Linked DNA regions of Drosophila melanogaster. The protein of the gene in region 1 purifies or fractionates together with the protein of each later gene. This does not show direct contact. Each region holds a gene or a part of one and is shown in the gene's direction. Other genes may lie near its edges.

Region 1 (6,869 bases):
GTTGGGTTTTTGTGTATGGATTTATGTATATTTAAAAGAAATATAAAAATACATTTCACATCCATTTATAAATTTGATTTAAGCTTTTTCACTTGAATATAAATTTTTATCAGTGTATCGATCAGTTTACATGTCGTTTTCTACATACATATGTATGTATTTACTTGTACGGTTCCAAATGGCGACAAATAATTTGAATTCTTTGGTTAAATAAGCCGGGTAGTACTTAGTTTATAACATTAAGCTATATCTCTTTCAGAGTTTGATTATAATTATGCTATAGTTGAACTCTCACACACATGTATACACACATATGTACAAAATAAAGAAAAAAAACTTACGCTGAGCTTGTAGCAGAACTAAACGATAAAACTTTCCACTGTTGTTTTTTATGCGCGACAGTTCTATTTATAAACAATTTGCTGTGCACCCGACGAGAATAACAGTTCGATGCGTGCGATTTAATAGACAATTAAGCTATAGACGAATATGGTGGGTGTACCAGCTAAACATGCCGTTGTTCACGCTTCTCGGTAACTGTCATTGCAAAGAAGAAGAGATCAGCTGTTCATTGTTTTGCTCGCCGATTTAAGAGGACATCGCCAAAAATGTTGCGGAAACTATTATTTAACACACAAGCTGTATTAAAACAACAGTCAAACGTGAGTTAATCATGAATGCATTAGATAGAAATTAGATACAAATTGTTACTTTCCAGTTACATCACATAAGGCACTTGGCAACGCCCAAGATATTGCAGCTTGAACAAATTCACATCGATGAAGCCATCAAAATAGAACCCACGTTAGCTGTATTCTCACCTGAAATCTGGCGAAGGGCCCATCAAACTTTTCAAAACCACGGCTTGGAAACCGTGAATTTCCTTAGAATAGTTACCGGTAACCCCGCGATTTTGAAAAGAACGCCGGACAAAATAATAAGCTGCCTGGAAATCTGGAGGGCCTGTCAATTCGGCGAGAATCTACTGCACCTGCTCCTTACGAAGTACCCCGAGTTACTGGACGTTAGCGACTCCCACCAGTTACTTTCCCACATCGGCTTCCTTCAAAGTCGCGTCTCCACCAGCAAAAATGTGTGGAAGTGTTTGATGAACAGTCCGGATTTGATAGCACAATCCGAGGTATCTATTGAGGAGAAACTGAACTTCATCACAGACGTGATGCGCATAGAAGTGCCGGAGTTGGTTAAATCGGCAGCCCTTACCTTGTCATTCGAGGAGCTGCGTTGTCGCCACCAGTTCCTGCTTCGTTTGGGCCTCTTTAAGCCACGACCTCCGAAAGCCGATCCAAATGAGCCGACTACGAACCCCAAACTCTATCAGATTACAGACACTTCCGAGAAGAGTTTCGCCACAAAGATTTGCCACGTCACCCTGCCGGAATACGAAGCCTTCAAGGATCTCTACGCCAAGGAACTGGAGCAAAAGTCCAGAAGAAAGGAGGAGGATGAGCTTAGTGATGAAGATGACTAATGTTACGTTTAATTATGGTTATAGTTTGTGCCAGCAAATAAACGCTTGTAAAAATAGGAAATGTTAAGTATAGTTTTCTATCGCCTTTAAAAAGATTTTAATTCATAAATATATTCAACTGACTTTTCAGCGGAAATGCATGTAATTAATATATCGGCTACGTATGCAACGAATACCTGTGCGACTATCGATAACATATCGCACTTAATCTGCAGCTGCAACAAATACAACGTAACGTAACGAGACGCGAATTGCCATCCCTAAGCAAATACAACGATATTCATAATATCAATCTTTAAACTCGAAAAAGCGAGACAAACTAGAAAGCTTTAATTGATTTCGTTACAGAATCAATTAGGCTATACAACCAACTCGTCTTTTTCGAGTTGACCTGGCATTTTCCTCCACGGAGGCCGGCCAAAAATCCGATTTATCCACGGGTAGGGTAGAACGGTAACCTAAACCCACAAAAAAAACAACAAAACATGGAAGTGTGTTAACGACGTAAGTGTCATTTAATGCCGATATCATTCGGCATTCGACTAAAATTGCCTGCGAGCATTTTAAGTGATTTTTATTTTGTGATTTTCAATCGTGTGCTTTGTTTGTGTTGCATTGGTGTGGGTAAGTGCGTGAGTGTGCTGTGCGTCGGTGTGAGTGGCTGCGCATGTGTGCGGCAGTGCGAGCGAGACGGCGCCACTCGAGTAGCGGTTGTCAAAAACAGCTGATCCAGACCAAGGGGTGCGGGTACCGAGGGGTTGGCGCTCGCGGGGGCGGGGGCAGCACTCACCTGTAAGCTTTCGCTGAAAATTTACGATATCAAAAACAACAGTTTGTTAAATTTCGAGATTCATTCAAAAATGGCAATATACGCATAGAAATACTCCAAGACGTACAGTCTTCACACCCTCCACAAGTGGTTTGTGCAGTGTCCAATACTTTTCCGTTGCTAATAAAATCTATATATGTATGTATGTATGTATTCAGGGTCAGGGTCCTGTGGTCAATGGATATGTTGTATATGTATAAGTGGGTTCTGCTGATATCTATTCATTTAATTATAACGATGGTTCTGTTTATGTTAATCCTAACGTGCACCAAAAAATTTTAATTATAATATAAAAAAATAAAGAAAAAATAAATAATTAATTCTAAATGATTATTCTTGTTTTAATTTACCTTAAATCTAAATCTAATAAAGTTGTAATCTTCTTGAGATATACTTATAAGATTAAATTTGAGTTTTAGGGTTAAACACGCCTGGTGGTGATTCAAACCACGTACATATGTATATGTAATAGAATATACGAATTTATTGTATGAAAACTAGTGATGATTTTAACATGGGCATTTCGTAGGGATTCCGTGGTCCGGGGTTCATGGTGCATAGCCCCAGATTTTGTGTTTTTTATCAGCGATGAATTGCAGTATCAGTTAAAAGCTGTCACTATCAAAGTTTCTCTGGAACTAATAAATCAATCCTGTTTTGCAGGTGCTTTAAGGGGCAATTTTGCTCGAGTGTACCGAATCCCCGGATCCCGCGAGCACAGCTTCTATCCGGAATGCCCCTGAACGATGTGGCCCCCGCCGGTGGTGGAGCTTATCCGGAAAATGGAACCAAGCACAAGGTGTCGGGAATGTGGAAGCCGGACTCGTCGGCCGGCTCCAATTCCGGCTCGGGATCGGCGGGACTATCCCTGTTTAGCCTGCAGGGCCAAAAGTGGCAGCAGGTCTTCGACATGGAAAAGGTCATCAAGCAACTGCGAACGGCTGAGAAGACGTATCTGCGTGGTGGAAAGAACTCCTCCGCCGGCGCAGATCAACAGGCGAAGGTGCAGGTCCAGCGTCTGCAATCGGCGGACATGGCCTACTACGATCTGGCGCCGAAGCTGGCCAGTCGCGATATAGTACTCTGTAGTTCCTGCTCGGGATGTTACACGAAGGCAGGTTTCCAGCACCACATTGCGCTGCAGCATCCTAGCGTCTGGGAGGCCACATCCAGCAAAGTGAATCCCAATCCAAATGGGACAGCCATATCCAGCGACTCTCGTCTCACTGCCACGGAAATCAGTCAGGAGGGCGGGGCTATCGTGCCAAGTTCGCCCACGGATACGCTTTCGGCCTCGACGCTCTCCAGTTGCTCGAACGGGTCCAGCAGCTCGGCTTCACTGCAGCATCCGGCTGCTGCGGGTTCATCCAGCACCACGTCGTCTTCGTCTTCGTCGCGTCACAAGAGCAGCAGCAGTAAAAGTAGCAGTTCCTCCTCGTCTAAGGGCAGCAGCAGCACTTCCGCCGGAAGTAGGTCGCGTTCGAAGTCGTCAAAGAACCGCCACCACTCCTCGCCAGCTCCGGCCCTGCTGGAGTCCAATCACAAGGAGTCAAAGGGATCGAAGAAGAGTTCGGCCATAGCCGCTCCTCCCGTCGTCGCTGCTGTTGTTAAGGAGGAGCCACCATCTGTGGGTGCTGCTCCGGCTGCCATAACCATGTTCTCCTCCTCCAGCAACTCATCCTGCAGCTTACCGCCCACTCCCACGTTGGGAGCGGCCTCCAGCGAGGTGGCGATGGGGGTCAACTATTCACCTGCCCAGCTTCAGACGGATGCGGAAAAGCTGCCCGAGCTGCAGCCAAAGAAAAAGGTATTTCATATAATTGTGACTATAATAACTCAATGATACAATTACCGAAATCCTCTTCAGTTGAAGGGCTCCAGCGATCATCGAATAAAAGCGGAAAAGGAGAAGAACAAAGATAAGTCTCTGGTGAATTCCTACGAGCAGCAGCAAGTGCTCAGCGAACTGGACCAGGCAGTGTCTTCCATCACGGGAGCGGTTTCCGCCGAGCAGGTGGCGCCCGATGAGGAGGAACTGCCCTTGCCCAACACCTCCGACGAGAACTCCATTTCGCAGACGCTCGACGAAATGCTGGACAGCAAGCTGATCAACGAGATTCTGAATAACTTCGATGAGAGCGCTCTGGACACATCGCAACAGCAGTCACAACAGCAAGCGCAGAATGGATCGCTATCGCATCCCGCACAGGCCACTAAAAGGCTGCGCTTTGAGGACGGAACCATTGGCGAGGATTACGCCGTGTACCAGCAGCAGGCGGTTCAGCAGGTTTATGGCGAGGAAGAGCATCAGCAGGAGCTGACCACCATCGATGCCATGCAGTTGCAGCAACTGATTTACCAGCAGCAGCAGATGCTCGAGCAGCAGCAACTGCAAGAGCAGCAGCAACAGCAGCAGCAGGATCAGAAGCTTCAGGATCACGAGCAGCAGCGCCAGTTCAGCGTCTACAACGTGCCGTCTCTGACGGATGAGGCAATGGTCAATCCACAGCAACAGCAGCTGGAGGAGCACATGATCCTGCCCAGTATTATATACGAGATCACCGAGTCGAATCCCGTTTCCATGCTGGAGCAGAAGGTCTTAGCCGAATTCCTAACCAACGCGGGCTACGAAAATGTGGACGTGAATGTCGTGCAATCGGGCGGCATACAAACCAACTTGAGTTCTGGAACGGAGGCAAACCAACTGGCGGATGAACTGGCCGACTTTGAGTTCAGTAAACTGGAGACTGTTAGCGACACCGTAAAGACTGTTAAGCTGGAGGCCAAGGCCGCCAGCCAGCCACCCACAACAAATCCTCAAATCAATCACCATCCATCGCTGGCCAATGCCAAATACCACGAGGACAGCTACTTTAACGTGATGCTGTACTCCGGAGCGCCTCGTCCCTTGGCCATGAACACGTTTGGCATGGTGAAGTTGCCCCAGGGCCTGGGCGTCACCTTCCGCAAGAATCTGTTGACCACGCGGAAGGCGAACAACAATTTGCTATCCCTGTCGGGAGGTAATCACCTGGGCGTGGTCGGTCAGCTGGCCCGCACACCGCCGCCGCCCTCGCCAGCGTTAAGCAACGGTCTGCCGGGTAAGAATCCCGCCTCGGGCAGAACCATTTACGCTCAGCGATCGAATGTCATTGCACAAGATCGCCTGAGGTGCAATAAGAGGGCGCTGGTAGGAGGAAAAGCTGGTGGTGGATCAAGCGGATCGCCGGGAGTCATGACAGCCAAGCGTTTGAATGAACTGCTAATGGGAAAGGCGAAGAAGGAGGAGAAGCCACCACCGGATAGCGAGGATGGCGGCGAGCAGCCGACGAAGGACAAGGAACGCGACAAGGAGGAGGACAACAAGCTGACCTTCAGTTTCTACGAGAAACGCCGCCGACTGTTGGCCGGCAAGCTGGAGCAGCTGCAGCCCCTCGGCCGCCCCAGCTTCACCCTGCCGCTCCAGAGCAACCACAACGCCAGCCAAAGTCAGAGCCACTCGCCACAGCAGCTCCTCAAAAAGCAGCTGCTGCGCACCTTGTCCGACAGCAGCAGCAACATGAACATCAGCAACATGAACAACATCAGCAATTTGAACAGCAGCAACACTCCCAGCGCCAACAGCAATCCTCCCTGGAAGGGGAACAGTTCCAATCCGGGAGGCAACTCCACTCCAACCAGCAGCGACTTGATGCGCGTCTTCGTCTGATCTGAACCGATGGGGAAGGTCAGATGTGCGGACACGCATCCCTAGTTATATGTTTATACAATACCATGCTATTATGTGCAGCCTCTTCTCTAATGCTAAATTAAATTGTAATAATTTTTTAAATTAATTCTTCATTTTTTAAAAGTGATAATTATCTTTTAGTTATCTATTAGTTGATTGTATGTAATTCTTTGTTTATTCTAATTAATTTAACAATTATACATATTATTTTTCGTGGCTAAGCATTATGCTAGGTACTCGTAAATCATTATTTATACACGCTGTAAACTTTTTAAATACAAGAGCATGCCTAAGTTCAATTATACTCCAGACCCAGCGTTGCCTCATTGTGTATATCTTCCTCCAAACGAGGAGCAAGTTATGATTATGTTCCATGTGTTGAGAACAGTAACCGGCGAGCGAAGGAAACCAGCTTAGCCTGCAACGGCATAGTCGACTGTTCTGATGGATCCCATGAGCTGGCACAGGTGTGTGGAAGTGGAAGATAGATTTCGAGGCAACGGCACTGGGTAAGGAACATTGCAGTGGCAAAGGGTAAGGAACAGTGCAGTGGCTGTGGTTAGCCGAAATGTGGGATCCGCCGACCATGTCGGTCAGAAATAACATAAATTGTCCGGAATAGTGTGAAGCCATTCAAAAATTCGTATTAAAATAACGGTCTAAATGGTTTACGAACACGCTAACAATATCTATCGAAGCTTAAAACCTTATAATCCCTACGGTATGCGGCACAACTATAGATATCCTTAAAACAAATAATCACTAAAACGATTAAATAAGTGCCGAATAAATAAGTTACAATTTAAAAGAATATTTTA
Region 2 (3,533 bases), 9.6 Mb from region 1:
ATTCCTCGAGTGTCTGCAATGTTGTGGAGCCGGATGATGAGCACGAAGTTAATTCCGTGGATCGGGAGGACACCGCCAGTTTGTTCAGCACTACTACGACCACCACCAGAAGCAAATCGCCAAATACACGAAAATTGAACCGCCTGTGTCGGCGGATCAAGGCACCCAAAATGGTTCAGCCCTTGTACAAATATAGGTGTGATTTTTCCAGGCAGAACATAAGTCATAATGTTTATATCCCGGATGCATTGCAGCTCCCATGTCCGCGAGGACCACAACCATCAGATCTTCGGAGTGCAGTTCAATCCGTTCCTGGACAGAGGCCAGCCGCAGGTGTTCGCCACCGTTGGCAAGGATCGGGTTTCCATTTATGAGTGCGAGAGGAGCACCGGACAGGAGTCCTGCGAAGGCATTCGACTGCTGCAAGTCTACGCAGACCCAGATGTAAGTACTCATCATATGCTATTACTTACATACATCATCGTTACGCCCTCGTTAGACCGATGAAAGTTTCTACACATGCGCTTGGTCCTACGACTCTGTGACCGGCGATCCTGTGCTTGCCGCGGCTGGTTACCGCGGCGTCATTCGCATATTCAATCCGGTTAAGCACCAGTGCAGCAAAAACTACATTGGTCACGGGCACGCCATTAACGAGCTGAAGTTTCATCCGACTAGACCGCAGTTACTTCTGTCCGGCAGCAAGGATCACTCCCTGCGCCTTTGGAACATTCAGTCGGACGTGTGTGTGGCGGTTTTCGGCGGCGTAGAAGGACACCGCGACGAAGTGTTGTCTGTGGACTTTGATTTGCGCGGTGATCGCATCATGTCCAGTGGAATGGATCACTCACTGAAGCTCTGGCGACTGGATAAGCCCGATATAAAAGAGGCCATCGAGCTGAGCTCTGGTTTTAGTCCCAACAAGAATACGGGTCCGTTTCCCACGATCAAGGAGCACTTTCCGGACTTCTCGACAAGGGATATACATCGAAATTATGTGGATTGCGTTCAGTGGTTCGGCGACTTTGTCTTTTCGAAATCCTGCGAGAACTCAATTGTTTGCTGGAAGCCGGGCAAACTTTCAGAATCGTGGCATGAGATTAAGCCACAGGAGTCGGCCACCACGGTGCTGCATCACTTTGACTACAAGATGTGCGAGATCTGGTTCGTACGCTTCGCCTTCAACGCCTGGCAAAAGATTCTGGCCTTGGGCAATCAACTGGGCACAACATTTGTCTGGGAATTGGACTGCAATGATCCCAATTTAACAAAGTGTAGCCAGCTGGTTCATCCCAAAAGCAACTCCACCATCCGACAGACTTCCTTCTCCAAAGACGGTTCCATTTTAGTTTGCGTGTGCGACGACAGCACCGTGTGGCGATGGGATCGCGTCAATTAGGATGAGTGTTTCTAGGCTAAAAGAATTTTCCTTATCCTTCTAAATCCGATACCATATTTATGTAACCATAGTTATTTTCAGTGTAATGTTTACCTTCAATATTAAGTATGTTATTATGCGTAGCATTTATATACAATACTCATTGTATTGACAATTTATGTTAAATTATGTTAAATTTTTTAACATTAACCAAGATATTTATTCTATTCTATTACTTTTTTAATGATCAAATAGCTTCGCAAATATTATCATCTTATGTTGTGTGAATGGCGTGGGCTCTATCTTTAATGTTTATATTTTAACTAACTAACTTGTACACAATAAAAACTGTGAACACTAAAGATTAAAACCAATATTTTTTTAAAGGGTTCTTCAAAAATAACGGTTTTTATCTCAAATGTATCTGGTATTTTCAGCCGTTCTTTGAACGGTCACTCGAATCAGCTGCATTCATTTGTTTATATAGCAATTCGCAAACAGTTGGATTTTCCTGTTTAGTTGTTATTCCCATTACTAAAATGCTTACCGACAGAGTTCTGGCCACCAAGGAGGCGCTAGTGGTGGCTCTGGGCGACAACTGGGAGCGTTACCGGGCCAACATGAAGAATTGGTTTCGGAGCCGTTGGACTAAGGAGGAATTCGATGCGGAGTCGCGGAAAATCCTAACACCTGACAAACTGCACCTGCACAATCAGTTCCTGCTCGCCCTGCTCAACAAGATCGACGCCTTTGCTCCCCTGGAGAATCCTCCGGCCGTCCAGACCAGCAGCAGTAGTGGCAACCGAAGCAAACGGCGCAAAAGAAGTTCCCGCACCTTCGCCGAACGCCTTAATTTTGAGCTCAGCGACGTCCTGGACTTTGTAGCCGAGGACAACATGCAAATCATTCGTCCGCCAACCACGATCGGTATTCCGTCGGACCAGCAACAGCAACAGCTTCAGTCGCAGCGGTACTGCGCGCAGGAACTTTTCCTGCCCGACGCGGGATTCATTATGGGACGATTTCTGATCGGTGCCTGGGAAATCGGACTTGTCTCCGTGGACGACAATGTCGCCGAGTACGTTGCCATGGCCGTGCAAGTTCTGCTCAAGGATCTACTATCGGCAATCATCAAGAAACGAAAGCACTACAAGACCAGCGGCGAGGGAAACTTTTACTACGATGTAGGTGCTCCGTTGCGTGATCCTTCGCTGCGCAACACCGTCACCCGGCAGAAGGTCGACGACACGCCGCTGGAACTGGACAAGGAACTGAATACGGCCAACTTTATGCGGCGACAGAACGACGATGTGACCTTCCTCTCCGCCTGCGAAGAAGTGTAAGCTCCTGAATAATAATGAGATTTTCATGTGAAACACAAACTTAGGTTTTGTTTCTTTCAGCCAACCCACCGAACGCACAGTAATCACCCTCAAGGACTGCCAACTGGCCTTACGGGATCGCAACCTGATAGGCTCGCATGCCGTCTACTCTATAAACATGGAACGACTCAATATGATGATGCATTAGCTTATAAGTTCTAATTATTTTATTATATCAGCTTCTGTAAAAATATATACATTATACGCTAGTGTACCATTAAGTGTTTGGTTCAGCAAAAATTCCGTGGAGGCGGTTTGAATGGCAAGGCACCTGGTAGAAATTGATCCGCCTTGAATGCTTCGATTTCCTGCTCGTTGAGATCCTCCATGCGACTGTAAACTGAGGACTGGATTTCGTTGGTCGGTTGAGCTTGCTGCTGCTGCTGCTGCATCATTTGCTGTTGCTGTTGCATTTGAAATTGTTGTTGCTGCTGCTGCATTTGTTGCTGTTGCATCTGCTGCTGCTGATGCATTTGTTGCTGTTGCATCTGTTGCTGCTGCTGCATCTGTTGCTGCTGCTGCATCTGTTGTTGATTAGGGAATGCAGATGCTGCTGCTTGAGCAAATAATCCGGAGGCAGCTGCCTGCTGCTGCTGTTGTAGTTGCTGAGAAGCCTGAGTAAACATTCCGCCCATATTTTGGCTTGCGGCTTGGCCAAAGATTCCCGTCGACTGTGGTTGCTGCTGCTGCTGTTGGAAACCACCGAAAGGATTAGGATTCACTGGCTGAGCTTGCACCTGAACCTGCGCCTGGGCGAAAATGTTGCCCCCTTG
Region 3 (5,619 bases), on another chromosome or scaffold:
GCACCTATTCCAGCTTCACCACACCAGTGATCCCCGCCAAGCTTAGCCAATGTTTAGACGCTTCCCAAGACGATGACGATGAGCAGCGAGAGTTTAGAGACAAAGACGAGACACCGAGCACAGCGAATCGGTTCCCATATCCGAGTGAGTATGGTGCAGAGTTTGTGGCATCTGCCGGCATGTTGGTCATACTGTTGCTAGTTGGCCATTGCCACAGGACCTTGAGCCCTCATCGCGCCAATGCCCATGACAAAGACACAAAGACTTTACATACCAAATTAGTTGATAGTTATGCTTTAGGACTACTCGCTTATGCAAATTTTGAGAGCCCATCCATCGCGGCCGCCTGCTTATGAGTCTCGATGCTGGGAGCAGGCGGTTCAGACGGATCTGGACATGGATCTGTTTCCGTTGCCAGTCGTCAATTATGACGACTGGGGTCGCGCCTGCGCTGTGACTTTTCCTTAGTTCCTTACGCAAGCGAATTCAAATCGAACCGTATCTGTGAAAATCGTGAATCTCAAACTCTTGAATGTCCTCGAACAGTATTGTTAAACATACTTCAGTCCCTAGGATCAGACGCAGGTGCGACACCAAAACCGAATTTGGCGCTCAAATAGACTTATTTAGACGTTTTTAGGTACTCGAATTGATAAATTTTGTTGGCCGTGTGCGTGTTTTTGAAAAGCGCAGCTGCACAAGTAACTTGCCATATCTGTTTAAGATCTGTTAACCCATTTTGTATCGTGTAACTCGTTTTGTTTTTCTCTGGTCCAAGCTAACTAGCAAGAGTAAACTAGCAACAATGCCACCAAAGCCACATGCAACACAAACTAGTCCTCACCGCCCACTGAGATATCTGGAACCCATAACAATTCGGCTACTGCTCGGTGTAAGACAGCAATACTAACAATAATATAAACGTATTCACCATATGAACTAATCGAATAATCAACTATTTATACAGCGTAGCCTACCCCAAATCCTTCCCAATGATTGTAATGATTGTAACCTACAATATCTCGGCAGTCCCACGCCCTATTCATGTTAGATGTAAGCAACCGAAATATTTTTCGGCAGTTATTACTTTTACACTTTTTGTTTGAAACAAAAGATATTTACCCATTTTATATTTTTTTTGTAACTCAGAATTTAGCTTAAGTTTTTAATCCTGACCACCGCTTAAATTTACGTATCGAACTGCATTTAAGCACATGAGTTTTTTATATTTTTATTCAGCACCACGCTACAAATGTTTCAACCATCACATATTCGTATTTATGTTTACCTTGTTTTGGTTTGATATGCACTTCTTTTATTTTAGTTTTATTTTATATATATTAATATTATTTTTTGTGATAATTTAAAAAAGGCAAAACACTCGAATTAAACTTTTAAAATAATTAAATAAACTACTATCAATATTTAACGCATAAACATTAGAGTTTTGAACATGTGCCTAATGTTTGAAATTTGTATTCTATATTTAATGTGTTGGTACTTTTGGTAAGTAGTATAATTTAGAAATTAACTATAATTCAGAGATTCAACAGAATTATGAAAATTAGCTAAAAAGGCTTTAAGACTAGCTATATAGGCGGCACTGTTCCGATGAACTGGTTCGGTTCGTTGGCCGTACATATAAGAATTCTCAGTAGAGCAATATGGCGTTGACTTCGCGTCTGGTCACATTACTGGCATAGGTTTTTTTCGCACAACTCATAATTGTCGTGAAAATCCAGGTTTTGGCCCAAAATGACCACAATCGCGGATTTATTCACAAAGTATAATTGCACAAATTGCCAGGATGATATTCAGGGCATTCGAGTGCACTGCGCGGAGTGCGAAAACTTCGATTTGTGTCTGCAAGTAAGTAACTCACACATACACGCCGTCGAGCGACGCACGTATACATGTTGCAGTAGGGTGGTTCGCTCTTTTTGAGGTTCTAGATACTTGTATATAGATTTGTAAATAATAAAAATCAGTTATTTTAACAAAATATTCTTGAATCACCCTCTTTGGATGGTCAAACTAATGGCCATATGGCCTCAATCCTCTAAATTAACGTCACCCAGATCTTGACAAGAAAAATATTTGCTTTAACTTTTTGTTAATTTAAAGGAAATTTGTTTATTGATTTTGGTAAATAGGTAGACTATCGTAGTTAATTTAATTAAAAATTACTTCCTTACGAATTAGCAGTGTCATTTTTATTTAGTTAAATGCCATAAATTAAAAAGAAAAAAATGTCAAAATAAGTGTCTGAATCTTGTATTAAAAAAAGGCCTGACAAAGCGTAAATTTAGGGAATATGAAATATGTTTCTGTTTTAATTTCCTAATCAAATTATTTTTATCGAGGAACTATTTACACGTTTTCTTTGTCAACATAATCGACCCACCCTGTTACACCCACACTCGTACAATCTAGAGATGCGTCGCCAATTTGGAACCAAAAACTGACTCATCTAGACATTCAAATAATACATACACACAACCGGCAATTTCACCATATTGATTAAAAAACAGCTGACTCTGTATTTATATTGTATTGTTTATTTTTTGCGCAGTGCTTTGCCGCAGGTGCGGAGATCGGCGCCCATCAAAACAACCACTCCTACCAGTTCATGGACACCGGCACTTCCATATTGAGTGTATTTCGTGGAAAGGGGGCGTGGACGGCACGAGAGGAAATCCGCCTGTTGGATGCAATCGAGCAGTACGGCTTTGGAAACTGGGAGGACATTAGCAAGCACATTGAGACGAAGTCAGCGGAGGATGCCAAAGAGGAGTACGTGAATAAGTTTGTAAATGGCACGATTGGAAGGGCCACTTGGACGCCGGCCCAGAGCCAGAGACCCCGCCTTATCGATCACACTGGAGACGACGACGCTGGTCCTCTGGGCACCAATGCTCTCTCTACCTTGCCTCCACTGGAAATCAACTCCGATGAGGCCATGCAGCTGGGCTACATGCCCAACAGGGACAGCTTTGAGCGGGAGTACGATCCCACGGCAGAGCAACTGATCTCGAACATCTCATTAAGCTCCGAGGATACGGAGGTGGATGTGATGCTTAAGCTGGCCCACGTTGACATATACACCCGCCGACTCAGAGAGCGTGCTCGCAGGAAACGGATGGTCAGGGACTATCAATTAGTATCAAATTTCTTCCGAAACAGAAATTACGCTCAGCAACAAGGACTCACCAAGGAGCAGCGCGAGTTTCGGGACAGATTTCGGGTCTACGCCCAGTTCTACACGTGTAACGAGTATGAGCGGCTATTGGGATCACTGGAGCGCGAAAAGGAACTGCGCATTCGACAGTCAGAGCTGTACCGATACCGGTATAATGGCCTGACCAAAATCGCGGAATGCACACATTTCGAGCAGCACGCCGCAACAGCGACGCACCGCTCTACAGGACCATATGGCCATGGCAAGACCGTAAGTTTAAGGCTCCGCAACAGGGGTGCCGAAATCGAACTAACCATTAAATATTTTATTTGGTCTTGAAAATCCGAACTTTTTGGAACTTTGTTATTTTTTTTTTTATTATTAAAATCCAAACATTACCTTTTCTTTCGATTGTTTCACAAAAATTAAAAGAGGTGTTAGGTGACCGGAACCGGTAGCTTTATAATTTTATCAACAATGAGTAGATTAACTTAAATTGAAAGAAAACAAATGATTTAAGTTGAATGTATAGATAAAAGTTTGGATAAATCGATTTGGAATACTTAATACAGAATATTAAATGGTCAAATTGGCTAGTTTCGATTTCATTCCCCTTGGAGTAAGCTTTTCCCACTGAGAATGCATGACGAGTTGAATATCGTGTGTTCTGCCTTGCTTTAACCGTCGTCCTTACCTGAACTGACCCAACTCTTACAATCGCTTTTCCGTCTTGTCTCACGATATTCAGCTCCACTGCATAATAAACGCGCCAAACAACGAGCGTTCGAATGGTTCTATAAGACAATGTTTAACCACAGGACCACACGCATACCTCCAATGGAAGTCATCGGCCGCCAAGCTCTTCCTTGCACTCCCCACAACCGAATCTCAGAAAGGTGTAAGTATTTTGGCAAAAAATTGCAATTACCTTAGAACTTGAATAATTCGGTTTTTCGTTTATTTAGCGAAATGTCAAGCGGCGGCGAGGCAAGTTCAAATTCAATCGCACCAAGAAACACGCTCCACATCGCCGACCCGACCTGCTCCGGCGCATTATTGCCCAGCAAAAACTACTTGGATAGCTGTCGGGGATCGTCGGCAGCTACGATGCTGCAGACGACGGGAATGGTAATGGGGGTAACAGTGGACTCGGGAGCGACGACGGGAGTGACTTCCACGGCTACGACGATGGCGAATCTGCCAACGAACTCGGCGAAGGGAAGCCAACAACATCTGCAGCCGCTGCAGCAGCATCCTCAGCTCCTGCAAAGCGGCAACCAGCACAAAATGCAAAACGAGGCCGCCGGCGGAGGCAGTGATCAGGTGCCCAGCATGAGCCTGAAATTGCGCACCCAGCTGGAGGAACTAAAACATCTGCCACAGCCGCCGGGCAGTGAACTGCTCAGTCACAACGAGCTGGATCTGTGCAAGAAGCATAATATTACGCCCACCACCTACCTCTCGGTTAAGACTGTCTGCTTGAGCGGAGCACCATCGTTGGGTAGTCCTATGGAGACTTCGCTGCGCAAGTTCTTTATCAAGTGCGGCTGGCTGAGCCACTGAACATCTTCCAACTTCCCGCTCCCCTTCGATTAAGAGCCACATGCATTTCCAAGGACTTCACTTTATTTTTGTATTAGTTAGAATAGGTTAAAGACATTTTTATACTGTTCAACTGTCGTTGGCATTTTCATCAAGGTAAAAACTACAAAACTGAAAATCAATTTACTTGTATCAAGTCAAGCTCAATTACAATAAGTGTTGTTCCTTTGTGTGAGATGTCGGGATTCAGATATTGTGTATTAACTAAGCTTAAGTAGGGGACCCAACCAATTGAATATGTATGATATGAATTGTAAATGAAGTAATAAATGTAATAGTGAATGTACAACAAGGACGCGACTTGTTTCTCGGATCTCACAGCTGGGAGACCGCTTTGGACTGAATGCCGCTAGGATATGTAAGAAGTAAGGTATTGAGTAAGCCTCTGATAGCGATAATACCGCGTTGAGTATTTATATTCGTATATTATTTCTTATGGTAGCTAGTTTTCTAGGCAAGATTCTGAACAATGCATTTGAACGTAATTCATTAAAGCCCATGAGAGCATGATAATCAATGTACTAGGCTGAGGAATGGAAAACAATGCTGGAAAAAATATATAAATATCTAATATGTTAACACATATGGAATGTTTTATAAATTAGCGAAGATTAAAACTTGTTAAATGAAAATGCGGTTATCTAATGACATTCTTCGGTATTATAAACTTAACAAAATCACTCATTCAGTTCAAGAAACCCACTAGTTATTTATCCTAGCTTATGTTCGTCCAATGCGGCACCCTAAAGCATGCACTCTGTAACCGTATACCTACAAAAATATATCATATATTTAAACAAATTTATTCTCTTTACCATTATAACTAAAAACGATGTGAT

What was found. Proteins that work in one complex are often made in the same cells at the same time.
Region 2: the proteins of Atxn7 (region 1) and Ada1-2 purify together in Drosophila melanogaster (affinity purification with mass spectrometry; 2 studies listed by BioGRID). This does not show direct contact.
Region 3: the proteins of Atxn7 (region 1) and Ada2b purify together in Drosophila melanogaster (affinity purification with mass spectrometry; 3 studies listed by BioGRID, with this or other methods). This does not show direct contact.

The regions. Positions count from the first base shown.
Region 1 is NT_033779.5:2,374,148-2,381,016, forward strand, and holds Atxn7 (ataxin 7), read left to right. Parts: upstream 1-1,693; 5' UTR 1,694-1,996; exon of another isoform or gene 1,997-2,116; intron 2,117-2,185; exon of another isoform or gene 2,186-2,525; intron 2,526-2,984; 5' UTR 2,985-3,054; coding exon 3,055-4,128; intron 4,129-4,188; coding exon 4,189-6,030; 3' UTR 6,031-6,359; downstream 6,360-6,869. Other genes in the region: CG15390 (uncharacterized protein), read left to right, coding at 609-662, 719-1,492.
Region 2 is NT_033779.5:11,991,076-11,994,608, forward strand, and holds Ada1-2 (transcriptional adaptor 1-2), read left to right. Parts: upstream 1-1,826; 5' UTR 1,827-1,917; coding exon 1,918-2,717; intron 2,718-2,781; coding exon 2,782-2,908; 3' UTR 2,909-2,979; downstream 2,980-3,533. Other genes in the region: escl, read left to right, coding at 1-196, 255-444, 500-1,399; CG18789 (uncharacterized protein), read right to left, coding at 2,991-3,533. UniProt on the Drosophila melanogaster protein: Component of the transcription regulatory complex SAGA, a multiprotein complex that activates transcription by remodeling chromatin and mediating histone acetylation and deubiquitination. The SAGA complex predominantly acetylates histone H3.
Region 3 is NT_033777.3:8,236,560-8,242,178, reverse strand, and holds Ada2b (transcriptional adaptor 2b), read left to right. Parts: upstream 1-1,663; 5' UTR 1,664-1,755; coding exon 1,756-1,869; intron 1,870-2,572; coding exon 2,573-3,448; intron 3,449-3,926; coding exon of another isoform or gene 3,927-3,996; coding exon 3,997-4,076; intron 4,077-4,143; coding exon 4,144-4,741; 3' UTR 4,742-5,065; downstream 5,066-5,619. UniProt on the Drosophila melanogaster protein: Component of several Gcn5-containing histone acetyltransferase complexes that regulate nucleosome organization; involved in acetylation of histone H3, particularly on Lys-10 (H3K9ac) and Lys-15 (H3K14ac).